2 linked regions of the Drosophila melanogaster genome follow. The protein of the gene in region 2 interacts with the protein of the main gene of each other region in a pairwise test. Each region holds a gene or a part of one and is shown on either strand. Other genes may lie near its edges.

What was found.
Region 1: the proteins of CG5662 (region 2) and CG9393 interact in a two-hybrid assay, tested with the Drosophila melanogaster proteins (2 studies listed by BioGRID).

The regions. Positions count from the first base shown.
Region 1 is NT_033777.3:9,561,083-9,572,237, forward strand, and holds CG9393 (uncharacterized protein), read right to left. Parts: upstream 2,592-11,155; 5' UTR 2,441-2,591; coding exon 2,354-2,440; intron 2,255-2,353; coding exon 2,108-2,254; intron 2,014-2,107; coding exon 1,735-2,013; intron 1,489-1,734; coding exon 1,093-1,488; intron 1,030-1,092; coding exon of another isoform or gene 988-1,029; exon of another isoform or gene 920-987; coding exon 845-919; 3' UTR 501-844; downstream 1-500. Other genes in the region: MBD-like (Methyl-CpG binding domain protein-like), read left to right, coding at 1-330; Vps45 (vacuolar protein sorting 45), read left to right, coding at 2,944-3,036, 3,100-3,298, 3,350-4,782; CG16789 (uncharacterized protein), read left to right, coding at 5,142-5,381, 5,474-6,474, 6,529-7,437, 7,500-7,670, 7,724-7,898; CG16790 (uncharacterized protein), read right to left, coding at 8,169-8,505, 8,567-8,908, 8,961-9,058; CG9396 (uncharacterized protein), read right to left, coding at 9,401-9,667, 10,051-10,091, 10,150-10,297. UniProt on the Drosophila melanogaster protein: Involved in transport of proteins into the mitochondrion. Essential for embryonic development.
Region 2 is NC_004354.4:15,200,921-15,216,938, reverse strand, and holds CG5662 (uncharacterized protein), read right to left. Parts: upstream 6,554-16,018; 5' UTR 6,484-6,553; coding exon 5,605-6,483; 3' UTR 5,472-5,604; downstream 1-5,471. Other genes in the region: CG32588 (uncharacterized protein), read left to right, coding at 10,384-10,545, 10,621-10,770, 10,849-11,049.

The sequences.
Region 1 (11,155 bases), on a different chromosome or scaffold from region 2:
TGGGAGAAGCGACTGGAACGACTACGCGCCTGCCACGACAGTGGCGAGGAGCTAGACGACATCTCACTGCCCAAGACCATACGCACCGTTGGCCCCAATGTCAACGAACAGACCGTCCTCCAGTCGGTGGCCACGGCCCTGCATATGCTCAACGCCGGCGTACACGGCCAGAGTTCTACGAAGGCTGATTTGACCAAGAATGCCATGGCGTTTATGAATCCTGAACAACCGCTAATGCACGCGGTGATCATTTCGGAGGACGACATACGCAAACAGGAGGATCGGGTCGGAGTTGCGCGGCGAAAGCTGCAGGATGCACTCAAGACATGAGTTCAATGGTTAACCCCCATGCATCTACCAATTCCATTGTAGGCTCTAACATCTCTATCGTATTGACCCCTATTCGAAATCTACATTTAAGACTAGTGTGTAATAAACCAAATCCAACTCCAATCGAGGAATTCTGGTTTCTTATTGGACATCGAGAAAGCTTCGCTTGTCTTTTCCATGACAACAGGGCTCTGTTATCCAATTTTATTACGCTCAGATGACTTTAAAATGCTATTTTATACAAGACAGTTTAAAAACGAATTCGAACTATAATACATAAACCGAATTTTCATACTTAGTCGATTTGTTTGGCAAATCCTTGGAACGAAGCGTTATCTACGACGAGGGGATCATTACCTGACGAAATTTTCGGTCCAAAGATTTATGGCCAAGTAAATCGATCTCCTTCAGTGTTTAGGTAAACCTTTAAAGCTGGACAGTTTTTGTGCTTCATCCCCACATTGTATTTTAAAATATATATACTATACACATAGATATCGTTGCAGAGATGCGATTAGTCTAGGCCCTCCTCCATCTCGTCATCCTCGTAATCTATGCCATCGTAGTCCGTCGAAGAGCGTGTCGTTAGCTGCAAGGATGAATCAATCGGAATTTGCAATTAACTGAGAATTTTGCACGTGCTCAAGCTGAGGCTGTCTACAAGAGTGTCTGGAGCCAACAGAAGACATTGAACCAGAACTATCGAATAAGCTCCATCAAGTCAAGAGTAAAGAACTACAAATTTCAGCCAAAAATACCCACCTGGTTGTAAATCCCACGCCATGCCGCAAACGCTCCCATGGCCAAGACGGCTCCCACGCCGGCTACTATTTTGGTGTTCAGCTCGGAGTCTAGGAACTTGCGCTCCGAGGCCGTCAGACTGGCCTCCGTGCCACTGGGTGTCTTTGTGAGCTTGACGGAACTGTATCCCTCGATGCGGAATATGTCCTTCGTGATGCGGTTGATAAAGTTCACTAGGTTTTGGCAGCCCTTAATGTGATTCTGCAGTGGATTGTTAGGCAGTGCGATCTTAAAGATGATGGCAAGATAGCTGTAGACAATGGCATCAAACTCGCTGTAGGTGTCGCCAAAGAACCACACCTTGCGACCCAATTTCCGGGAGAGCAGGTTCACCACTTTTTTGGCATTGACAACGAGCTGTAAAGTAAAATGATTAATTGATAGTTAAAGAAACGTCTTGCTTTTCACAACATTGATAAGATATATTGATAACAAAAGACCAATACATGAGAAACTGTTTCTTATTAATATAAACTGATGAAACGTTTCCAATCGAAATGCAGCTTGGGTGTAAAACATAGGTTAGATAAACAAATTAAAAAATCCTCGGATTTAAAGATACAATAATGTAATATGAGACAATATGAAATTGAAAGCACTCACGTAGTCGCCTTCGTGCTTGTCCAACTTGTCGTTCACATCGAAACCGGCCATCACCTGAACCACGTCGCAGGCTTCCCTTTGGTAGGACGACGGGTAGTAGAAGTTGAAGGGGAATGGCGTGCGCTTGGCGTAGAGGCCCCGCGTGGTTGTGTCAAAATTGTGAGGCTCTCCAAACAGGAAGTAGTGGTAGTAGGCATGCAGATTGGTGAACACCCAGTTGGCGTAGGCGGTGGACAAATGCTTTTGTTTAGTGCTTAAATGCGCATCTATCGGGTAACCCTGAAAGAATACGTCGAATTAAGCCCATAAAAAAACACATATCTATAAATAGAGCCTGCAGTTTGTTCACCCCGGCATTGTTTTGCTCACTCACCTCGAGATCCAGCACGCGCTTAATTTGCCTATAGCCCGCGAACTTCTGGTTGCCGATCTGCAGATACGGCAGCTTCCCGGCTCCCGAACGCAGCGGATTGGAGCTGGTCTGCACGTCCATGGGGCAGCGGGTGAATCGCAGGAGGCACTGTTTCCGGCAAAGAGGCGCTTTCATCAGTTTCTTTCATCATCTGCGATAATGGGCAAAACAGGCGTGCTGGCCGCCGTGTGATGCAACGGAACTTACCAGAGCACGTAAACATTCAAAATCTATGGACGGCAGTCCGTACTCCCCCTTGTACACATACAGCATGGCTCCCAGTTGCATCTCCATTGTGTCCTAGTCTATGCTTTGCTCGTACTCTTGTATTTAGCCGGTTTTCAACAGTCCACCTGCATATCAGCCATCCGAATTTGAATCCAAAAATATATGCCAGAATTTCTGGCCGACTGCTGCGAGTGCTTCAGACTGATAACTACTGGGCACTCGATATATCGCTCGAGCATATCGGCGCTTTATCGATTGCCGGCCAGGGATGTTGCTACTCGAAGTTTATTTTGGCTAATGAAAAGATACGGAATTATGTTTGAGCTTAATTGCTATTTATGTTTATCTTTATTGCTATTTTTATTATACTACCAAAAAATTGTAAGTTTTTATCTATATGCATTTTTACATATTCACATTATTTTACATTAGCTAGATCTAGCGAATGTTACCCAAATGTTTGGTCACCGCTGTTATCACGGAGCTATCGCAATTGGGGCATCTCCAACCCATCTGTTTGCGAAAAAAAACATTAATTTCTGATTTTCGCAGTAAATTAGTTAGCAGTCATGAATCTGATAAGCGGCATTAAGTTGTACATCGAGAAAATGTGCTCCGAGTCGGGACCGGGCATGAAAATCATTCTGCTGGACAAGGAGACGGTAAGTGCAAGGACTGACAATCAAATCCCCTGCCATATGATCAAAAATTCACATCATTCGCAGACCAGTATAATTTCGATGGCCTTTAGCCAATCGGACATGCTGCAACGGGAGGTGTACCTATTTGAGCGCCTGGACTCGGGAAGATCCAACGAGCGGTTAAAGTATCTAAAATGCATCGTCTTTATACGCCCCACCAAGCAGAACATCCAGCTACTGGCCAACGAGTTGCGGAACCCCAAATACAGCGCCTACTACATTTGTAAGTGGGTCAGTAGAAGCACCTTCGGAATAGTACTAAACTCATAAATAGATTTCAGCAACATCATTCCCCGGACGGACATTAAATACTTGGCAGAGTGCGACGAATCCGAATCGGTGCGAGAAGTGAAGGAACTGTATGCAGACTACCTGTGCGTCAACCCCAATCTGTTCTCATTAGGCATTCCCAATTGCATGGCGAATCTTAATTGGCTGCCGGACGCTCTCAACCGCAGCATGCAGGGCATCACAGCCGTGCTGTTGTCCCTTAAGCTGAACCCAGTGATCCGGTACCGAGCCGGTTCTCAGGCAGCGCAGCTTCTGGCCAAGCTCATATACGAGCAAATCACAAAAGAGTCCTCGCTATTCGACTTTCGCTCCAACATGGATGGCGCTGCGCCACCGCTGCTGCTTGTGCTGGACCGCAGGGACGATCCTGTGACGCCGCTTTTGCATCAGTGGACATACCAGGCCATGGTGCATGAGTTGCTGCACATAAAAAACAATCGATTGGACCTGTCCAATTGCCCCAATGTGCCGAAAGACTTCAAGGAGCTGGTCTTATCCGGTGATCAGGATGACTTCTATGGCAACAACATGTACGCCAACTACGGCGAAATCGGATCTACCATCAAACAACTGATGGAGGAGTTCCAGCGCAAGGCGAACGACCACAAGAAAGTGGAGAGCATAGCAGACATGAAGAACTTTATTGAGTCATATCCGCAGTTTAAAAAAATGTCTGGCACTGTGCAAAAGCATTTGTGTGTGATTGGAGAACTGTCGGCGCTGAGCAACAAGAGGAATCTCTTCGAGGTTTCCGAACTTGAACAGGAGATCGCTTGCAAGGCGGAGCACTCGGCCCAGCTGCAGAGAATCAAAAAACTAATTGCCGACGAACGGGTTTCCATCGATGATGCTCTTAAGTTGGTGGCACTTTATGCATTGCGATACGAGCGACACGCCAACTGCGACACATCTGGACTGCTGCAAATAATCAAAACGCGCGGTGGACGAGCGGCTATAGTGCCATCGTTGATTGAGTATGCTGGAACCCATGTACGACAAGGAGATCTCTTCAATATGGTGCGGATAACGGACGCCGTAAAGCTGACACGGAATTTGATTAAGGGCCTTAAGGGTGTGGAAAATGTCTTCACACAGCACACTCCTCTCCTGAAGGAAACTTTGGAGGACGTGTTTAAGGGCCGCGAGCTGGATCCCCTCTTCCCGGCCATCAATTCAGAGCTTGTGCCATTTCGACGACCACCGCAGGAGGTTGTCGTGTTCATTATTGGCGGTGCCACGTACGAGGAAGCCTTAGCGGTGCACCAGTTAAACAACGCCGGCTATAAAGTCATTCTTGGCGGCACCACCATCCATAACTCGCAGAGTTTTATCCAAGAGGTCGTGGCCGCCACTAGTGGCATTCAGTTTAAGCACACCAAATCCATGATCAAGTACTGTTCCACGGATAACATTTAAAGTCTATTTTGACTAGATAGCCCCAATTATATTGTTAACTATTTATTAACTAAATATGAATGTGCATTATGTATTAAGGTATTCCATGCATTGTACCAATTCAAATCCATTGGACTATTTAACCTTTTAAGCGTAACCATGTAAACATATTTATTGTTATTCTCGAGGGTAACACCAGGCAACGCCTTGGACAAAATGTATTATATACAACTATGTGTGTACAAAATTACTAAACTCTCGTTGTCCTTGCAATAATTCCACCCCGTTTCGGCAAAAAGTTCCTTGGCAACTCCCAGGCAACGTTTCGTTTGGCTCAAACAAGAATCTGATTTTTCATTGGAGGAGTATCATTGACCATCATGTCCAGCACATATTTCAATGATATCTGGCACCAATCCCAGCATGAATGCGAGCTTCTATCCACGATTGACTATGAGAGGCAGCACCAGGATGTGGAGACGACGGTGGCCACCATGAATGCAGCGGTCGGATCCGTCGCCGCCGATGCGGATGCCAAGGCCTTGCTGCAGTCCAGTCTGTACGAGTTCTATCTGCGCTACATATGTCTGAGCAATCGTTTGGAGGATGTCTATGATAATGTGGGTATACGACTTTCTTAAACAAAAGTGGGATATATATAAGGAGATGATATATCCTTTGACTCTGGTTTACTTCTCATCTTTCATCATAGATGATTCAGCCTCAGAAGCGCCAGTTGGTGCGTAAATTACTAGACGCCTGTCTGGGTCGAGTGGTGGAGCTGAAGCACGATCTCGTAAATATCGACTTGATGGAATTTAGCTACAACGACGAGGTGGTGGAACGCCTGCGCCTGACGCCCATGGAAACGGAGCTGAGGATACCACGCTACTTTCTGCGCGAGCGTCAGCAGGAGCTAGAGTTTCGAAAGAAGACCATGCATGAGATCCTAACGAAGCTGGGTTGGCTTGAGGAGCACGAGCTGGAGGAGACGGTTACCACCGAGATCGAAGCCATTAGGATGCTTCAAATGCACGAGCGAGCGCGACAAGGACGCTTGCGTGCCCACTTCATGAAGGAGATTCGCATCCTAAAGGAGAAGGGCAAGTCGGAGGAGCGCACCGAAAAGGAGCGCAGTGACTCTGGTCTTTTGGCTGCCATGAAGATTCAGAAGATGTGGCGTGGCCACACAGCCCGACGGATAACGCGGCGCCGCAAAATGGAGGAGATGATCCTAATCGGAATGCTGCCACCACCGCCGGCTGTGGTTAAGGAACGAGCCGAGAAGCTGGAGAAGCTGCAACACAACGAGAAGCGCTACCAGGCGCAAGCGTTTTACGGCAAAGAGTTTGAGGAGCGACAGAACGCACTAAAGGAGGAGATTCGGGCCAAGCACGGAGCCAGCATGAAGGAGGACATTGCCGATGAGATTCGGGCTTGGGTAAAGGACTGCTACGACAAGACTGGCAAGCTGCCGGACTTTCCATCCGAGGATCAGGGCGGCTCATTGCATATTTTCAGCAGACCTGGAACTGAGAGCGAGCACAGCCGTTCGTCGGCCCGCTCCTCCAAGGAGTCGCGAAAGACCAAGGATAAGTCCAAGTCACCCGCTCGCAGTGGTGACCTCAACGTCAACGAAAACCAAGACGAGGAAGTTAGCTTCCAGCCGGCACCGTCCGTTTGCCTGCCAGACATCCGTGCGGAGATCGATCTGTGAGTAAAGATATATAATAAATTGATCCAAATTTAATCTTTTTACAACTTCAGGTTTAACGATACCTGGCGTGATAAGGATGAAACCGGTGTGCTGAGCCAAGCGGCCTATGAGGACATGATCTACAGCGACAAGTACCAGGAGGTGGAGCTAGAATTTCGGCGCGCCGTCGACGATGTGATGCGCCAGGAGATCGAGCTGCTCCAAACGGCCGTCGGCAAGAAGGTGAAGAAGAGCAGCAAAAAAACTCGGCGATCCGGCAAGAAGAGCAAAAAGAAGAAGGAGAAGGATCTAACGCCGGATCGCACTACGGAGTCGCTGTACGAGGAGCTGGTCACGAATGGCATAATCCGGAAATACCCGGAGCTAAGGCTAAAGCAATTCCTGGGCGATAAGGCGTTGACTGCCAGGATTGGCACTAATCCCTCACCGGGCGACATTCGCCAGATTCTCACGGAGTACTGCATCCTTCCACTGGGATCTGATGCCATACATAACTGTACTCCACTGATACGTTCCATCCTGTTAGCTGGCCCCAAAGGATCTGGGAAGAAGGCACTGCTCCACGCCATTTGCACGGAGGTGGGTGCCGTGCTCTTTGATCTGACTCCTGCCAATATTGTTGGCAAGTATCCTGGCAAATCGGGACTGATAATGCTAATCCATCTGGTACTGAAAGTGTCGCGACTGCTCCAGCCTGCGGTGATATTCATGGGCGATGCGGAGCGGCCCTTCATGAAGAAAATTCCAAAGACGGATCGCACAGATCCCAAGCGACTGAAGAAGGATCTGCCCAAGTTGATAAAGAACATTGCGCCCGAGGATCGCGTCGTTTTCATTGGCACTTCCAATCTGCCCTGGGAGGCGGATCAAAAGCTATTGCAATCCGTCTACAATCGGTTCATCTATATTCCACGACCGGATTACGGCGCCATGTCACATGCCTGGAAAACATTGTTACAGTGCGTAAATGTGGGGGATTCATTTGCAAAATAATCTACTGATTTGGTTTGCACCCCGACAGCGATTACTCTGGTGGCATTTCCAATCTGGACACCAGCGCCATGGCCAAAATATCAGATGGCTATACCATTGGGTCCATCGATGCGTGCCTCAAGGAGGTGATGACCTGCAAGCGGAAACTCCAGCTGCGCACCCAACCATTGACCAATGCCGAACTGATCAATGTTCTGTGGTAAGTAGATTTGGCTATGAAATTAGTTAGTTGTTAGTTTCCATGCCTTTCAGCTCACGAGATCCCGTCTACCGCGAAGAGGAGGAAGCTTTCGAGTCCTGGTGGTCGAAGACCCCGCTCGGCCGCCGTCGTCAGCGGTTTTTGGAGCTGGAGGAGGAGCGATTACTGGAGGAGCAGGCGCAGGCGGCCAAGCAGGGAAATGGTAACAAGAAAAAGGGTCTTAATTAAAAGGTAATCACTGGACTTCTTATATTTAAGCCTAATTTGTAAGGAAACATCTTTGGATTGCTAATGGTAACCATTCATTCAACGCTATGGCTTGCTTTACAATCTTGCTTTTATTAGCAAACTACAATTTATATGTTCATATATATGAGCTAATATGGAACAGATTACATTTTTGATACCTAATAAAGTCAATATATATTTTCCACTACATTCCAATTGAAAGATCAGCATGCATAAATATTTATGATTCAGTTAAAGACTGGCAATATCCTATTTCAACGAGTAGGTAAAATCCTTGTTGCCGCACTTTAGGTGCACCTCATTGACCGCCAGGCAGAGTTTGTCCTGATCATCAAGGAGCTCTTTTAACTCCGTGAGCTTTTCGTTAAGCAGTGTCTCCTGGTCGCCAACGCACCAAAGAAGGCTGACGTGGAACGAGGCCGGATCATAGAACTGTTGCAGCCGGTAGTCGAGCATCACTTGGTCGATGGGCTGCAGAATGGCAGTCATCTTCTCCACAAATGCAGCGTCCAGGGGCGCAGCAATGAAGGTCCTGGTTCGCTCCTCATTCGTGTAGATCCGCAGCCCCTGCAAAGTGGCGGCGAATCTAAAAGAGGATTGGTCATCAGGATGGGAGATACTAGATTTAACTTGGTTAAACATCTCACCCCGCAGAGCTGTTGAGGGCGCTTTGCAAGGATCGGGAGAATTCATCGATCTGATGGTACTGCAGCACCACTGTTCGACTCAGGCTCAGATGGAGCGACTCGTTCGGCTGCAGTTCCAAGTGTGGCTCCAGACGAGCAATGGCCTCCGTTTGGAACTCCTCCAGCTGGTCAACACATGCTGTTGCCGGCACATAGACGTAAGTGGCCCAGTTTCCCCGTTCATGCTTGAAACTACGCATGCGGCCGCCATGTTCCGCGGGATCATCCACCACATCCTCGACGAACTCCTCGGGCTTGGGCTTCTTGGGGCCCAGCAGGGTGGCTGCTTTGGGTAGGGCCGGTCTTTGGCGGTTATAATGTAGAAATCTACGGGTATTCCAGTAAAGGACGTTACCTTTTCAAGGTGATCAACGCGGGAGTTTGAATGTTTTCGGTGCAGTCCTCATCCTCGGAGGCGGAGGAGCTGCTGCCACCATAGTCCACCAGGGCCATATTATTATTTATTTATGTATTTTTATTTGATTGCAGTAAACAAGAAATGACCAACAGCACAATGTTCGGCGGTTTTTATTTACATTTATCGATTAAATTGAAAGTGATGTGTATTTAGCTTGGTTTTAAATTTATGTTGATAAACTATTTTGTTTTAAGCAATTAAATTGCAATTAATAACATTAAAAAAAAGTTATAAAATTCACTTTTAATTATTTAAATAGTACTTATTTTTTTAACATTTTTTTACTGTAAAATTTCCACTTTAAATGTATTGACCGTTAAAGCCTTAAAACTTGTTTTTATTTAGACTAAATCCATTGAAATGCACAAATTGGACTACTACAAACTGGCTTCAATAGCCGGGCATTGCTCGCCATTTTTCTCCAGCCTCGACTGCTCCCACTGGTAGTTGTAGTACCTACCCAATTGGAAGAGCTGCGTCAGACTCACGAAGAGATTAACCGCGAACAAGCTGTAGTTCTTGGGAATGATCACCAGAGAGTAGCGCGTCCAGATGAGGTTCGTTGCCCCAAGAGCCAGACATCCGTTAGGCGAAATCTTGTCCGCAGGACGCGTCAAATCACTGAGACCCGCGATAACGAGGCTCTGTGGTGGAATATAAACGGAATGGTTGCGGAGATTAGGGAGATCTGGCCGATAGTGCAGGGTAAGTCCCCCCATTGACTGCAAATCTGAATAGCATGTTGGCAAAGCTCCCCCCAGTCAAAACAGTAAAAGTATTATGAAATATTCCATGAGCCCCACAAACCGCACAATCATTCAGTTATCAGAATCTCGCGCGTGGAGAGGAAAATGGTATATAAGTACATATATACATATTTATCGCGGGCTTGAACAGGTTTGCCGAGAACTAAACAAATAATAATAAAACACAATATTCGCCCACAGGTTTGTTTATCAGTACGGTGATAATGGGAATTGGCTAAGGACGCAGGGTTCATGGTTATGCAAGTAGTGCAAAAACTTACCCACTTAACGATTGGAGCCCAAAAGAATATGGTCTTGGGTCCTGAAGGAAAGATATGTTAGTTCCTCTCTGTGCTTAAAATGCTTCTATTTATGATCACCTGCTGGGTGCATCCACAAGGGTCGCATCTTGGGGGGCACATACTTGTCGCAGGCCTTGATAAGTCCATTATATGCCCTGGAGTGAAGACCCTTTCCGGCGGAAGCTGCAGCCGTGGGCGCAGGTGTTGTTGGAGGAGTGGCAGACATTCCGGAACGCTACTGTTTTTCCTATATTTTCCAACGTCCAACCAATAGCAGATGCACAGAGTAACTGCTGGTCAGGTTTGCGAATTGAGAGGAATTCTATATGGCCTACCTGTAATCAAGTATTTGTTGAGTATGGGCTGATTGATTGGAAGCGCTGGAATAACAATCGCCTGGGACTGCGATAAACCAGTTGGGAAGTAGTGCTCCTGAACAAACTGAGGCACAACAGCTCCAACCAGGCGTCCATCTACAACTGAGCTTTCCGAAAAGTCCGGGGTCCATGCACATATGTTTATGTTTCTCTAGTATTATTAGCTTAGCGCTCCTGTTATCACCAGCACTATCAGCCACTGGAATACGACGACGCCAGCCCCTTTTTTTGCACTTTGCTTTTGCCGCAAAACTAATATAAGCTCTTAGTTATATTCTCCTTTTATTGGTTTTTAATTAATTTGTGTTGACTAATTGTGTAAAACTCAACACAGTTATCGAACAGCGAATGTGCAAATAGATTCATCACACATGGCGTATGAGTTATCTTCTTGATAATCCGGTTTTATTGCAATCTAAGGATTTCTACTCTTTTGCAATTATTGTAATAACAGCTCATTTCATTTAAATCAGTCAAACATAATTGTATTAAATCAAAGAATAAGATATTGATTACCTTTGCCTTTTGGATATGTTTTCCTAATTTGGCATACTTAAAATAATACTTTTAAGAAAATATCTTTTAGCCAGTTTGGTTCATTTATATTACTGAATATAACCCATTGTTGGGCCACCATGTTGGGCCACATCCACTTTAATAAAACGAACAACTACGTTTATCTAGTGACTAAAGTCTTAAAATGTATT
Region 2 (16,018 bases):
GAATCTGGGTTGGCGTAAAATAAACAACAACAAATATGTCTGTATATAGAACAAAAAAAAAAGAAAATAATATCAACTCAACTTTAAGCTTTGCACACAGCGAATTTCCAATGCTCTGGTATGCCAAGGAATTCCTTTCAACTGGGAATGTGAAAAACACGAAATGCTCCAAGCTGCCCAATAGCGTATATACCCATGCCGATCAAGGATGCACAGATCCAACAAAGCGCAGAGTAAATATTACAAAAATGTATTACACAAGGCTTTCGGATAGGCGCGGGTGTGCCGGAAAATGGAGAAAAGGAAAAATGGCAGACGTGACAAAAATGCTTAAGTGAAAAGTTACGAGCGAGCGGCGGAAATCGCTCCCCTCACCCCTCCCCCCCTTCTCTCCCCACAGCATCATTCCTTTCGTTTCTTTACTTTATTTCGCTTGTTTTCCCACTGCCCCTCCCGGAAAACTTGTTTCGCGCACTTCGTTTTCCCTACCCCAAGTTTTTTTTCGGCAGCGTTACGTTTTTGTTTTGCTCTCGCAGCTGCTTAATATTTTCTTGTTTACGCTTTCTTCGTGAAAAAAAGGGGAAAAGGGGTGCACTGGAAAAAAATATTATTTTATGTATGTCTGCATGGCTGGGTTATCTTACCAGCAAAATGACATTTCTTGCAACTTTCATGAATAAAATTATTGCGATTTCTGTGCACCCTTATTAAATATTATTTTCGCAACATATTTTATTTATTTTATTTTAAGCATTTACATTTTCTCGCCGTGTGGTTTTTGGCGGTGCGGGGTAGCGGCTGGTACTGCTGCTGCTGGTGGCGCCCCACTGTTCATCATCCCGTGAGATGGCGTTGCGGGTGGTGCTGGCTGAGTGGTTGGCTAGTGGGTGTTGGGCGGTTGGGCGGTTGGGCGGTTGGGCGGTGGATGTCTGGTGGCCTGCTCCTGGCTGCTGTCAAACTTTTCACGCACGCCCGCTGCCGACGAGCGATTTCCCGGGTCGCACGGGTTGAAGACGCGCGCGCGCTCGCAAATCGATTTCCGCTTCATTACGCCGCCGCTTATGCGACGCCCCCGGGCGGCAAATTCAGGAGCGGATCGAGGGAAGCGGATGTCGGCGGCCCTGGGAGCACTCCAAATCGTATCAATCATCTTTCAGAAACACTTTGCACGCCCACGCATGCCATTCACAAGCTCAAGGAGACATCGAGTAAGATGTGAGATCCCGGAGACCTCGGGCACAGCTCCCCTTTCCGCCCTCTCTCCCCGCCCCCTACCCTCCCACCGCCCAACAGAAATATTCGAACTCATATGTCAGAGACAAGACCCGCAAATTGTTTGTTTACTTTTGCATGCCATTCTGCCATCCATCCACTCGAAAAAAATAAACAACCAGCCCCATCCACCCATCGTTTGGCCTGTTATTTCAGGCCGCTTTCATGTCATTTTTCAAGTTTACACAAAATATTTCAAGTGTTTGATGTCTTTTGCACCCGAAGCGCATCAATTTCCTTCTTCACGCCACCCAACACTTGTCCACATTTTCAGTTGGTTCCGATTCAGATACGGATACAGATACAGATACAACTAATGTTTCTTTTTTTTTTGTTGGCGCTGCCAGCTGCACAAGCAACTCAATTAAAATGTAAGGCAACCGCAAGCGGCAGCGTAAAAAACATATAAATATGGCGCATACGCCGCGTAAATCCATAATTGCATTTGTTTGTTATCGCCGACGCCACGTGACCAGGTGGTTGTGGGTGTTTTGGGGTGGTTGTGGGTGGCTTGGGGTGGTTAAAGGTAGTTGGCATGGCTGCTTGGGCGGTCACAAGGTGGATCCAATAACAACAAGCCAGCCAGTGTATAAACCCCATGTATCCGTGGCTTTCGCCACGTACCGATAAACGATTTCCCCGGCTAAATTGCCTTACGAGAAATCAAAACATTATTAAACGAATCTCATAAATAAATGATGCCTACGGATTACGGACGCAAATCACTGATGCTTTCCAATTATCGGGAATTTGTTACCGCATTCATTAAGTATTTGATCATGATGATCGGTTTGTATTTGTTAGTTATATATAATTATTTTATATAGAGGAGGGTGCTTGATTTGATTATTTAAGGATTTCAAAGAAATATTTAATATTGATTAAATTATGATTGTAATTATAAATACCAAGCTTTCGTTTCTTATTATCGCTCAGGCGTTTTCCAGGAGATATCCCTTTTCAGCAGGACCTCTGGTTCAGGATGTTTTTATATGCATTTCGTTGCATTTCCACTTCAATTTGAACGTGCAATGTGTTTTTAAGCACTCAACAGGGCGGTTCACAGGACGATGATGAAAGTTGGGGGTTTGGGAATTAATGGGGGCTGGACTGCCAATGCCGCAGCCCCTCCCCTCCCCCCTGCCAGTCTTTTTTTGGTGGCAACAATTGCCAAGTGCAGCATGATGATTGCCACTTGAGCGGGTTTTCCGCTGAGTTTTCTCTGCTCGCAGTTTTTTTTTCCTTCTCGGATTCTTTTTTTTTCAACCACTGAAAGCGGCAACAATTTTCCCCGCCCCCATGTGTGGGTGGTCAATTATTTGTTGCTACTTTATAAACTGAGACCGCTCTTGATGTAGCTGCATAAATTGAGACGGGGTTTTTGTTCGCTTTTCAACCGAAAATCATGGCTTTGAGTATGAAAATCGGAAAATCGTAAAATCACAACCTAAGAACACGAGGTGCAAACTTTTCATATAAATTACACGCAATAATATTTATTTAAAACTCTCTGCCGAAAATCCCGCCCATTGTTGTCGCTGTGGCAAAGCGCAATGAGCACACAAGCACCTGCTCAGGAAAGCAGCCGCCAGTCAGTCGATCCAAATATTTTCGGTAATTTGAAAGTAATTCGTTTAAAGGAATTTACGTGATTTGCCTAACAACCGAAAAAGTCGTAGAGCCGGCGGTCCAACGAGTAAGTGAGTGAGTGGCGCTTGGAGCCCTGCGATATTGAGTTGTTCAATGACACGCCATATTTCCTTGGGCGGGTTAATATGTGCGCCGTTTGCGTGCCACAGAATTATTGCCTAATCACTGCACTGGCTCCTTTCTGGCCTGGCCACGATGGGCACAAGATGCTGGTGGAGTGGTGGGTCGAGATGAATGGAGCTGGCAAAGGAGATAAAGATGTGGATATAGATGGACTAGGCCATCGTGCTGCGACATCGGTGACCGAGCAGCGGCGAAAGTAGCCGCAAGGAAAACTTTCTTCCCTCAGCCAATTTGGAGGCAAAAGAAAATTTGTAGGCTATAGAAAGTTTTGGCCCAAAGCCCCCCCCCCACTTCTGACCAAGCCATGGCGCAGAACTTTTCAACGTATAAATGCTGGACACTGTGAGAAAATTTGCGGCGTTTTCAATGTGTAGCCTAAATTAAATATGTTTAACAATATAAACGATTGAATAATGGTAAATAAATAAATAGGCTGAAACACTCTATTGATCTGCGATTTTATTATTATTACTACGATGGAAAACAGTTTTTTAAGTGCACATCTGTGTGTATATATCTTAATGCATACCTACTGTGTTTTTTGTCTCGTTTAGTCTATCTGTTGTTTAGTGGCCCTAAGGCAGTCAGTTGGGCTGGTGGGGGCGTTGGGTATGGTTGGGGGCGTTCTGGGCGTCTGGGCGTGGCATGTGCAAAAGTTTTCGCAAAAAGCCCGGCTACCAAAATAAACAGCCAACAATGGCAAGTGGCAGCGGTTAAGCTGACAGAATGCTGAATTTGGTATGCTACAAGGATCTGCAGGATAAGGCGCTGAAAACTCGAGGCCAACGGCAGAGAAAGTCGCTAAAATTTGGGTGGACGGGGATTGGATGAATCGAGAAAAGTCGAAGAAAGTCGGGATAGTCGCTCAGCGACTCTGTGGGAGAACAAAATGAAAACAAATTGTGTTTTATATACTTTCCATTAGGGTTACTCGGGCGAGCGGAAGATGCTAGCTGAAGGTCGCTGATGATGACGGGGACTCCTCGGATCCGGATGATGGATAATCGGGCGACGCAGCTCGGAATAAAGCGATAAAGCACAACGTGACGTAAAAGTTCAGGTTGAGATGACTCGAGGCCCCAAGTGCCGTGGTTATTTGAAGGCAAAAGCGATTGTCTGCTTACGGTTCTATTGAATCAATAAAGAACAAATTGACTGAGTTCCATTCAGTTATAAACATCAAGTGAGTAATGTCCGGCGATTAGAATGAATTCACTAAGAACTTATATTCTTAAATGCGTCTTCAGAAGTTCAGAATCAACTATTTGCATGTAAGAGGTCCCGGGCTTAAGTCCCGGCGTCTCCAGTTTTTGAAGAATACTTTTTTTACTTGTTGAAATCGGTACTGAAATATATTATTTTATATTATATTTTTTGTATGTCGAAATTTAAATATTAATCCATTCAAATCAGGTTGGCACTCGAAATGGGCCATGTATTTTGGCAACGGAGTGTGCAGCCAACACTCCAAACCGGAAGTTGGGCGGATGCGGAAACAGACGAAAGGGCTGAAAATGGCCGGCAGCAAGGATAATGACGATGCCGTCTGATGTCTGATGCCTCCCACTCCGATAGCAGAACGAAAACGGGTTTCAAAATAATGGAGATAGGAATGGAGATGGAGCTCACGCGCTCATTGACGTTGAGCAACGCTTATTGGCGTACTTAATCCTTTTGGTAAATTCCAATAAATTACCAAGTCCAGGGACAGCCATCAAGGACAACGAAGATTATCCTCTGGGAGTCGTAGCAAAGGCAAAATGCACAAAAAAAAAGGAACAACGGAAAAAATCATCAATAGGCCATGATGAGTTTCTGATTGCGAAACACAAAAAGGGAGCCAAAATGGTAGGAAAACATGGGGAGCTGGCTGACAGCGGACCTAGTCGATGTCGATGATGGTTCCCTGATTGTCCGAACGATGCGGCCATGTCACACGGGTTAGCCGGAGTACTGAAGTCCCGCAGACCCGTAAACTCTTCTCCCAGGGAACTCTGCATTGAGATTGGTGACTTTGGGCCAGTCATAAAATCGAACCTACAAGTCGAGGGCGAACTTAAATTGAATGCCAGCCCGCGCCGAAAATACTGCCTAGTACACTCGAAATATAAAAGAGGCCAATTTTTTCGCAATAAAAAAATTAGATTTTTATGACTCGCCAGTAATGACTCCACATTTAGAAACTATAATTGCAAATTTGTAAGTGTAAACTTCATTATTACCGGGATTATTCTAAAATGAATATCTAATTTAAAAATTGCAACAATCATTTATTTTGGATTTACTTGCTTTCTATTTGTTTGATTTCTTTACTTTATTTTTTCAGTGTTAAATGCCTTGTCTGTTGCTGTATTTTATGGCATTGTGCGCTGGCTTAACTCTGGTTCAAGTTTCCCCGTGCCACACCCCATGCAAAACCCACTCTTCCTCCGACTTGTCTGCCGTTTTTATTGTAAATGCTTTGCATATTTTTGATTGCCTTCCCGACCCTGGCCAAATAAAAAAACAATAAGAATCCTTTGTTCCGGGGCAGAGGGATTCCGAGTCCTGCCCTTTCCTTTATTCTATTTTTTCCAACTCCATCTCGTCCTCCTGCTCCTCCACCGCGCTGGTCAGGAGTTTGCCATCAAACAGGCTCTGATCGATGCGGCGACAGTGGGCCAATAGACGTGGATATGTGGCCAGAACCGCGGCCAGTTCCATGTTGGGAAGCTTGGTGGTCATTATGGCTACCACATGGCCAAAGACCAGGGCGTCCAATTTGCAAGGTCGTGAGCCGCCGAAATAGCTCTTCGCCTGGTCCTCCTCCAGTTCAGCGATCAACGCATCGGCACAGATGCTCACCTCCTGGATTACCTGGTCGTTGTCCAAATCCTGCCACCGGTAGACCTTCAGTATCTTCTGTGCGTCCTTCTGCTTGGCAAACCGGCGAATCGTACTCAACGGCCACGGATGAGCGGCTGCACAGCGCGTTGCCGTGTAAAGTTGATAGTTTACCTCATCCACAAAACTCATATGAATCTCCGCCAGGGTGAAGACATTCTCCACATAGCTAACCAGACAGCGGATGTTATCGCGCTGATCCTCGGACATCCAACTGTCCAGGCAATTGCCGCCTTGCACGGCCTCCACTTGGGCCACTATTGGCTCGAATTCCGCAAAAGTCTTGACAGGGCCCAAACGGAGCAGCGGCAGGTGGGTCAACCGGCCACCTGGTGACATAAACTCTGCATTGTCGCTGATGTGCTCCGTAAATGGTAGGTTGCACATGCGCAAAAACGTCTTCACCGCCAGGCAGCTGGAGCGCTCCGGCAACAGGAGCTGATTCGCCTCGGCCGGCTGATGCAGGTGGGCGTCCGCCGGCCACGCCTCCTCCGACTTGCCCTCCTCCGCCGACGACTGCATCAGGGCGGCGGTCAAGTTTTGTTCCAACTCCATGCTTAAAGTGCCGAAAATTTTGACTGTGGGTTTCTTTTTATGGAATTGTTGAAGTGACAATTGTGGCAGTGATGGCTATATTAATATTTTCATATATTGTGAGAAAGAATTTTTGTTTACGTTTCATCAGTCAACTTTTGAGTACATTACTGCTAGAATTCGGAATATTATAAATGGGTTGCAAATAAATGTTAAATAAAAAATAAAGAATCTTAAAAGCAAATTCTTCCACAATTCAAATAAAATAAAAGTAATGCATTGTAAACTTACATATATGACTTTATAAATTTCAATAATAAACGCTGTAATTCCCACCTAATTAATATGACAGGAGCCAACAATTATTGACGAAACTTACCTAATTTTCGTGTCTGATTTATTTCATAATTTTATATTTCCAGAAATTTCCCTTGAACTTGTTTACTTTCAGTTATGTCTATCCATTGATTGTTTTTTGTTCATGCGTACAAGCAGTTGTTAAGTGAAAGCAAATATATGGCATTTAAGCATTTAATTAGTCTGCAATGAAAGGCATTGAAACTTGAAATGTGCAATTAGCAACGAATAAATGTGAAAGCAAATAAACTATACTCGCAATTAGGCAAATAACTTGAAATCAAACTGACAGAGAGCAATATTCCTACATTGGACTTAAAGAGCTGTCTGCCTTCGTTTCATCGTTGACAGGATTCACTTTTCCACAGAAAAATCAGTTGTGTGCTTTGATGATGGAAATGTTTTGTGAATTTTCTGCTCGACTGGACATTCAAGCAATTAATCATCGGCCACCGCCCTTCCACATTCCATTGGCACCCCCACCAAAAAGGTTTCGGCCCACTCGCCGCCAAATTTTTTTTCTACTACCGCCCGCTGGTTTTTGGCCGACAGCCTCGCGGGAACTGGAACTGAGGATGATAAATTGCTCGGGCGGAGCATTATGCACAGTTTTGTGGCTCCTCTGATCCAGGACTCGAGTGCTTCCGGAAATGAGGCAAAAGTTTTGGGCGCTCTCTATTCGAACGTTTCATGGATCATCAGGTACGAGAAGCTGGCGGGCTCTCCATGATTGCTAATTGAATGGCCTTGATGATACAATACATCGCTACACGGAAAGAAACTCGAAATACTGCACCAAATCGAAAGTTCTAATTTAACAAAGAAACACTTTAATGAAATATCGAAATAATAATTAAAATAATTAATAATAATTAAGCCCGTTTACCATTTGTTTTGTATTGAAATGTTTATTTTAAAACATTTTATTATACTTCTAGGCAATGCTATTTGAAATAACCAATCTGACTTGCGTTGACAGCTGTGAAAATTGCGAGCTTCGATTGACGGATTATCCCATTTTGGGCGGACGCCTTGGACCTGATTAGTATGCCCGCGAAGTTCGAAAGCCGAGACTAATTTAACGCCAAGTAACGAATTTTGGATGAGAGTTTTTGATTTACCAGCCACGTTACTGGGAAATGAAAGAGTAAATATACGAGGGCCGTGGCGTTGTCGTTGATTGATTCGGTCGAGGGCTACTGGGAATTCCGTCCAATCCATTGACAACCAAGTCGCAAAACACTGCCAAATTAATTAAGCCACACAGAGTAGGCACTTCGGAACCGAACCAGTGATATCTAGCCATTGTGGGTTAAGGATTCACGATGCTCGGTATGCTCGGGATGGCAAGGATGTTGGCCTGGTTGAGACATCGTTTCGGCAACAAAAGCCAACAAAAGGCAACAATTCTTACCCACTAATAAAGAATAATATGACTGCCATAAAACTCAATTTATTACCAAAATGTCGACAAGCAGCAGACTTTTGTGCGTATATGTGCCACTGTGTCTTATTCGCTTTCTCCTTTCTTATTTTGTGTGTGTGTGTGTGCGAGAGTTACGACCTACGGAGAAAGGAGGTGAAAGCAGAACGAATGACGTACGGAAGTGGCAAACAGCAAAAGTTTATGCTGCCATTTTTGTTTGGCAATTTTCTATTTCTATTTCAATTCCAAGGCGTCGTTTTATTTGCATTTGGTGTGAGAAATGTGTGCGCGACTTGCGACCCTAACTTGCCCTCTTACTTTATCGGCGATACCCTGTAATATCGAGTGATGTTATTTTCGGTTTTAACTGTTTTAGCATTAGTTTAATTAAATATAATACACATATTGTATAGTATTTGCAGTGTATGTGTAAATGTGTATAAGCAATGCAAAAGTATAAACATATTCATAAAACAAGGAAATTTAAATTGTGTTGAATTTAGTATAGTGTTTACATTTTGATTGCAATGACTGTGAAGCACATATATGTACATATGTACACAATACCTGTTCATCCAACAACTTAATTAAAAAAAAGTAATACTCCAAGTTAATAATTATTATTTTTTTATTTTACTTAACCCTTAGGGTAAGTCACGTGTTGTTCCACCGAATTTCTTTGTACCATCGTTATTCTTGGCTTTTAACGTAATTCTTCTGCAGGACTCCCTAGCTCCTTTCCTTGTCTTCTTCTTCCTTTCCTGCACTCGTTCCATTTTCATCCTTGCTGTGCAATTTTATTTGCTATTTCGGTTTTGTGCTCCGCCATTCCATGTTGCTGCTTGTCTTTATTATTATTTTGTTTCTACAGTTGGCGATTTGTTGCTTTTTGTGTTGGTCGTTGGACGTTGGCATTGTTGGATGTATTGTTGGCCATCTCTGAATTTTGTTGGCCAGCTGTTGGGCGCACTTCACCCGGCCGCTTTGTGGCCACAATTTGGCGGAGTCCTTGAAAGGAGGAGGTGAATGGTGAAGACAATCCTCGCTCTGGACGCCGCTAAATAACCGTTTGGCTGAGCTAATCCACGGCCACATTGTCCATTGTCTGGGAAAGATAAGCGGCCATTGGACGTTTGGTAGGACAGTGGGACACCAACAGCAGATGGTGTGGCACCGGGACTCGGACAAAAGGGGAATCGTTGCCAGGACCAGGACATAGATAAGGCCATACCGCTCTACCCAGATTTCTGCAATAATAAATTTATAAAAATATCTATAAGCTGCCCCCAAATGTAAAACAACATACAAGTTTTGTTCTTTTATTAGTCTTGGGCATGGTTTACACCGCGTATACGTAATGTGAGTAACACTGAGCTTTGAACATTTGTCATAAGCCACGTAGTCCGAACAATCTACCAGCCAAGTCAATCGTTTCTTTCAGATATCTGCTTATTGAACAATTTCTTTTCCCCAGACATCCAGGCAAATGCCAACTGCAATGTTCTGGAACATTTGCGGTTGTCCTAATGGAACCATTACGTCCCAGATATACATTAAGTAGGATGGTGAATGAAATGGAAAACCTTTTATGTTACATTAAATTTGACTGCGTGCCGAGTGACAGTGTGGTAAATGGGTAAATGGGGTAAAGGGTCGGGCTCTGTGTCTCCGTGTCTCTAGGACTCCAAGACTCCGTTTCTGTGTCCTGGCTGGCGGGCTTGTCAAAGTTGTCGCAACATTGTGGCGCTGTCAGTGTCATTGTCGCTGCAAATTATGGCGGCCTGAATGCGTAAATGATGCTTAATTAACATTTACCCAGATTCCAGCCATGCGAAAGCCATGGAATGTCGACGGCGCGGTGTGTGTGCGGTGTGTGTGCTGTGTAGAGTGTGGTATGGTGTGTGGAAGACCCGGCCAGAAATTGCCAGTTATTCGCATTTTCAAGACAAAAATAAGCTACCAAGAAGAAGGCCAAGTGTCCTTGCACAGCCAGCGGGAGTAGTTGGCCATGATTTAATGCCCAAATCGTTTTCGATTTTCATTCATTGCCTTTCAGTCAGTCATCCCCTTTGACTTGAACGAAGCACCTATTTATACATTCTTTTATAAATTTGGAAAATTTATTTGTACATTTCGGCATGACATTCTTCGAGCAGATCAGTGATCACTTTTGCCGCGTTGTGCACACCAATCTCAAGATACCTCTATCATGTTGCGAAAGGCGCATCAACTGGAAAATCTCGAAAAGTATCGATTTATTGGTATTCTTTTATACCCTCAACATCGGTGTCCTTCGATTGGTGAGTAAATGGTAGCCCTTTATTTAATGGTGGGCAGCAAGTAAAGGACTAATTGCACCTAACCAAAATTCGTAGTTAATAAATTTTATAGATTTCATGATCGTTTTCTTCGGATGGCCAAGCAATCTTTTGATTTTAAAGGACTTCAATTCGCGGCGCTTTCGAGCCCTCACACACTTTTTACTGGTGAGAGCGTACATGCTAATGATATACTCCATTGTATTTGTAAGTACAAAGATTTACAATATGTACACACTTATTGTACCATTGTAATAAATTACTGCAACCATTGTTTAAATCCAGATCACTCCGCATAAGAATAATATCTTCGTTCCGCTTTTTGCCATCATCATGACCATCGATGTGTATGTCATTAAATTAGATATGAAGCGACGTGGATTGATGCCTCTGGAGCGCAGTGTGCCCCCCCTATGGGAAATATTGATCAGCTTGTGCTGTGTTGTTGCCGGGCAATGGCTGCTCAAGTATTTGATCTTTCATTAGCGTACGGATTTCATTGTAATGTTTTGTTCGCCTTATAATTGCTTTTTTTCTGAAATATACATTGAATACATTGTCACTCCTCTAATGCTGCATTCTCAATTCTTCACGCGAATGTCTGTGGACTCCTTGCGATGACTGTATAGTCTCGATTTGACAAATGTTTTCATTTTAATTTAATTTTGCTGGCGACAACTTTTTAATTGCCAAGTGGCGAAAAGGGCACACATTCGCGATAAGTGTTACTCTTTTGTTGGCAAGTGTAAAAGTTGTGAATAAAATTACACAAAGTCAGTCAAAAAGTGGTTAGTATTGGCAATTAGGATGTAAAAACTATGCCTTTTTTTAACGGTTTGGCCATTTTTTTAATCTTGAAAGCCATGGAATGTGGAGGGTGCGTTGTACTCGCGTTTTCAAGCCAAAAATAAGCAACCAAGAAGGAGGCCAAGTGGAGGAGCGGGCAGGAAGAAGCTGACAAAGTGGGCCGAAAAGGTGAACCGGAGCACATTGCGAACGGAAAGATTGTAACAAAGCCACAAATGGATGCTACACGGCGAAAAAAGTCGACGAAATTGATTAGAGATTTGAAGAAGAAAGATTTGGCAAATTCAACAGTATTTTTGGGTAACATTGGTAGCTATAAAACTAAAAATTAAAATGTATGTAAACATATATAAATATAATAATGATGTGATATAGAACTTATTTCTTTAAAACTCAATTGCACCTATTGCAATAATATAATCATTTCTTTATCACAGTTTTTTCTGTGTATAAATGCAAACGCATGCAGCTCCACAAATAAGTTTTCGCCTTGTTCGGGTTTATCGGCACTAATTGCAATGCCGAAGAGGCATAGGGAACCCCTTTCGCTTGACCCTAATTAAACCATAAGTCAGATTAAACCGGGCTCGCAGCCCTGGCACGCACTCATGAAAATCACTTAGCCGAATTAGCCGGGGAAAAACGAGATGCTGGCCAGGCCAAAAGCGTGACGAGACGAGGCGAGCCGGGACGAGACATTACGTCAACGTCAACTATGTGGCATTGCTCTGTCCGCCCAGAAGGAGAAGTGGTTAAGGATATGGCGGGATATATAGATATATGCGGAGAGGGTGGTGAAGAGAGGGGGTGGGTCAGCCGTAGGCGGGAAAGGACACGCTTTTAATACAATTAGAGCGCTTAAGTTAAGTGCTCCCAGACTACGCAGATGGCCAGATGCTCTGATGCTCTGATGTTCCTCCGGCTTTTCCCCTACACCGATCTCGGAGCCAATGGCACTTTAAGTTAATGGCGTAAGCACAAACGACAGGGGCGCCCCCAAAAGAGGGCTAAAGGAAAAGGTGGTAGGGGAGGGGGGGGACCTGGGCTGGGTTAACAACAAAGGATTGAACTTTGTTAGGGACAAGCGGTAAATGAAATGAACTACAGGTGGACAGGAAGTTGGGGCTGGTTTTGCTTTCGGTTTAGTTGGGGATTGGGCCAGGACCACTTGGGTTGGCCCAGGTTAAGTTGGGTGCCAATGAAAGCACGAACGAGGCAATAAATAAGAAATAACATGGCTCAGGAAGAGTATGAGGCTCGCAGATGCCCATTACTTTTAAAAAGTTCATTTGGTAGAGGTTTCAACATTTATTTCATTGCAATAATTGAAGTTCATTATCTAAACTGTTAATTGAATACTAAATAATGCAGTAATATAATATATATACTATATCTGCCAAGAACCAGTTCCCGCAGAATCATTTAATTTCTCAACAAAAGTTAAGTTTGCACGGCACCTCATTTCCCAGGGTATCATTTTGACGCGCTCTTCGTCAGCTTTGCACTTGGACCAATACCTACGCCCTGATTAGAGCATTGTGCCATTGACTAACGGTGACCCAGACGGTGTCGACTCCACTTTCAAAGGAGCACCACTTGCCCACTTGCGCCACCCATAATCCGCCAGCCATTTGCCATAATCATTGTCGTTGTCCGCGTCGTCTGCTTCTGGCATAGTGTTAATTGAAAATTAATGGCGTGATGGCAAAAAAAAAAAAAAACTAAACATGAACATTTTCGCTGACTCGCCACCGCCAGGTGGAGCCAGTTGAGCGGCGGAGCCCGGGGAAAATGCGTTTGAAAAACTGTGAAAAAGCGCCGGGGAATAATGGGTAACTGGGGGTCGCTGCTCTGAAGTGCTAAGCAAATTAACATTTCCATAATTAAATGCGGATGACGTGGACAAAGGGTGCAAAAGAATGTAATAATATATACAATATATATATATATAAAATAGCCATGTATATATGTATGTATGTACATGAGTTAAAGGTATACATGGCGGTATAAAAAAGAAGAAGAAATTTCAGGCCGTTTTTAATTGTGATTAATTGCGAATTTCTTTGCCCTCGTCGTCATCTGGTCTTTTTTCCCAAATTTACCACCCCTTTCCGCCCGCCATCTACATACATTGTGCAGAGGCGAAAAAAGTTGCGTGGGCACGAGGCGTGGCACATGGAGCAGATGCCAACAACGGCGACAATGGCTTAACACTTTGACCGTATTCCAATTTTCCAACCCACACCGAGAAGTGAAGGTTAAATTAAAATAAGTAGGCAGGAAAAAGGGTAAAAGCATTAAAGATGGGCCAGTGAAATAAAGTAGAGTGAAGAAAATTAAGCAGACCGACTAGAGAATAATAAACGAGTAATAGGATACAAAGGAAACAAATGATAGAAAAAAGAAACAAAAAATAATTGGTATTTTGTTTCAAACATGAAAAATAATGGCCCAAATTTGGAAAGCCATATCCCCAATCGACTTGCATTCAAATTTTCAAGGCTCTTTCAATTTTTCCCAAATTTTGATGATGCGAAATAAAAATTGAAAATTTTTATCTTTTAATGCCAATCGATTGTTGTTTTTATACATCATTATATTTTGTAAGCAAAGAAACAAACTTATATCAAGTATTTTATATTAAATATATATCTCTTGCTTGCAACGAAAATATACAATGCTTAATAGCAAAAAAAAAAAAAAAGACTTACATTCTAACCGCCATTTCAAGTCTAGCTGCGGAGAAGTCAAACTCGGCCGGCTTGTAAAGCCAATGCTAACACACACAGCCACACACACACACACAGCTGTCTTGGCTACAATTTTCCCAGCGTATGGATCGCTTCTGTTTGTGTGGGGGAGTCCACTTAACACAATGTTTGTCTTGGCAATTACACGCGCCTCCTTCAGCGCTGTCCGAAATTTGTTGCCAAGCCAAATTTGATTTGGGGCAGGGGAAAATGGAAGCGGGTGCTGATTTTCTGGTGGGGCAGACTCGACAGTGGGTGGCCTATAGTTGGGCTGACGAATAATTCCATTACTTAACATTTGAGTCGCAAATAAGGCACGCAACTTGGTAGGAAAAGCCGAAAAGACGGGGGCAAGTTTTATATGTATGAATGTCACTATATGTATGTGTGTTTGGGGCGGCAAGTTTTATATGTGCGCGTTTAGCTATAAATGTCTCCTGTGACCAGTGGCAACAATGGTAAAGCTGATGCTTAAGTGATACAAAATGCAAATACTTTGGATACGTTGATGATGGAGCAGCAGTTTGTTTGTGAATGCACAGCGAAAATTGAATGCTGCAAATTTGATAATGAATGATAATAAATTAATATTACCCAAAAATTTATATGACTGTATACTATAGCTGAAAAATCGTAAGCAGCTTAAAATAAGATTTAAGTAAAAAATATATAAAAAACAAATAAAGTTACTGTGACATTTATGTTTAGCCTAAACTTAAAATGTGGCATCTAAAAACCTGTAAATATAAATCTATTCAAATGTAGGAGGTGCCCTTGAGCTGATTTTCCTACCAACTATCAATATTTTCGTTAGTGTACTTGTTGTAGTTGGGTTTTCTTTCCTTTTTATTCTTTTTTTTTTTTTTTGTCAGCAGTAAGGCAGCAAAGTCACTTGACGAGCTTCCGGCTTAAGGTTATTTGCACACAACTCCTCTTTTGGCTCGCCATGTGCTCTTGTTATGCCACTGCTTGTGATATCCACTCGTCGATTGTTCTGCCACGCCCCTGCCACCGCCCCCTCCATGTCAGCAACATGCCCCCGGGGCCTAACCGACCCATCAGCCCCAACCCCAATACCCAGAAAGACCCGCACTCCTGTTGGCCGTAAAAGTGGCGTCCATGTGACAAATATATGGCGGCATCTTGTCGCAGCTTAAGACGAAATGTAAACACAAACAGGGCCGTCGAAAATTCGCCACCCAGCCACTCCGGCTCTTACACACACACACACACACCGGCACCCCCCACCCCCCACCACACTTTTCGAATGTTAAATTATGCGTGGCCCCGCCCACTTTTTTGGGCGACTGTCTGTTATTGTCGCCTCTCGTTCACTATCTCCTTGCTGGCGTTTTTAGCGTCGAGTTCGTCAGTTTGTCGGCTTGCCATTTAGTCAGCTCGTAAAAACAAAATAGCGAACAACAAGAGCAAACACAATTGGAAAATGGAAAATGGAAAATCAAAAACTCATCTGCATGCCGCTGGATCGTTTAAATCAACTGTGCAACTCGAACCCGAATGTTTTCCCCCAGCTCCCCAGTCACGTCCGGCCATTCGAGAGGTTAGTGCCGCTTAAAGAGGAAAATAATAAAAAAAAAAAAAAAATGAAAAATAAAATAAAAAAAATAGTGTTAGCAGTAGAGTGGGTTTTTCATGTCCATGTACTATTTTGTTATTTTCGACCATAGAGCCAACGAGGTGACGAATGATCGTGACCATAATAAATTGACAAAAACGATGCCATTCTTTTCAATTCAATGGAAAAATTTCGACTGGTGCTGCTCGAAATCTCATTTGTTGCCGCATCTTTGGCCGGATGCTCGATTTTTTTTTTGGTCTCACCATGGCAAATCACGGCCCTAACGCCAATTTATTCGACGCTGGGAACGATTTCATGG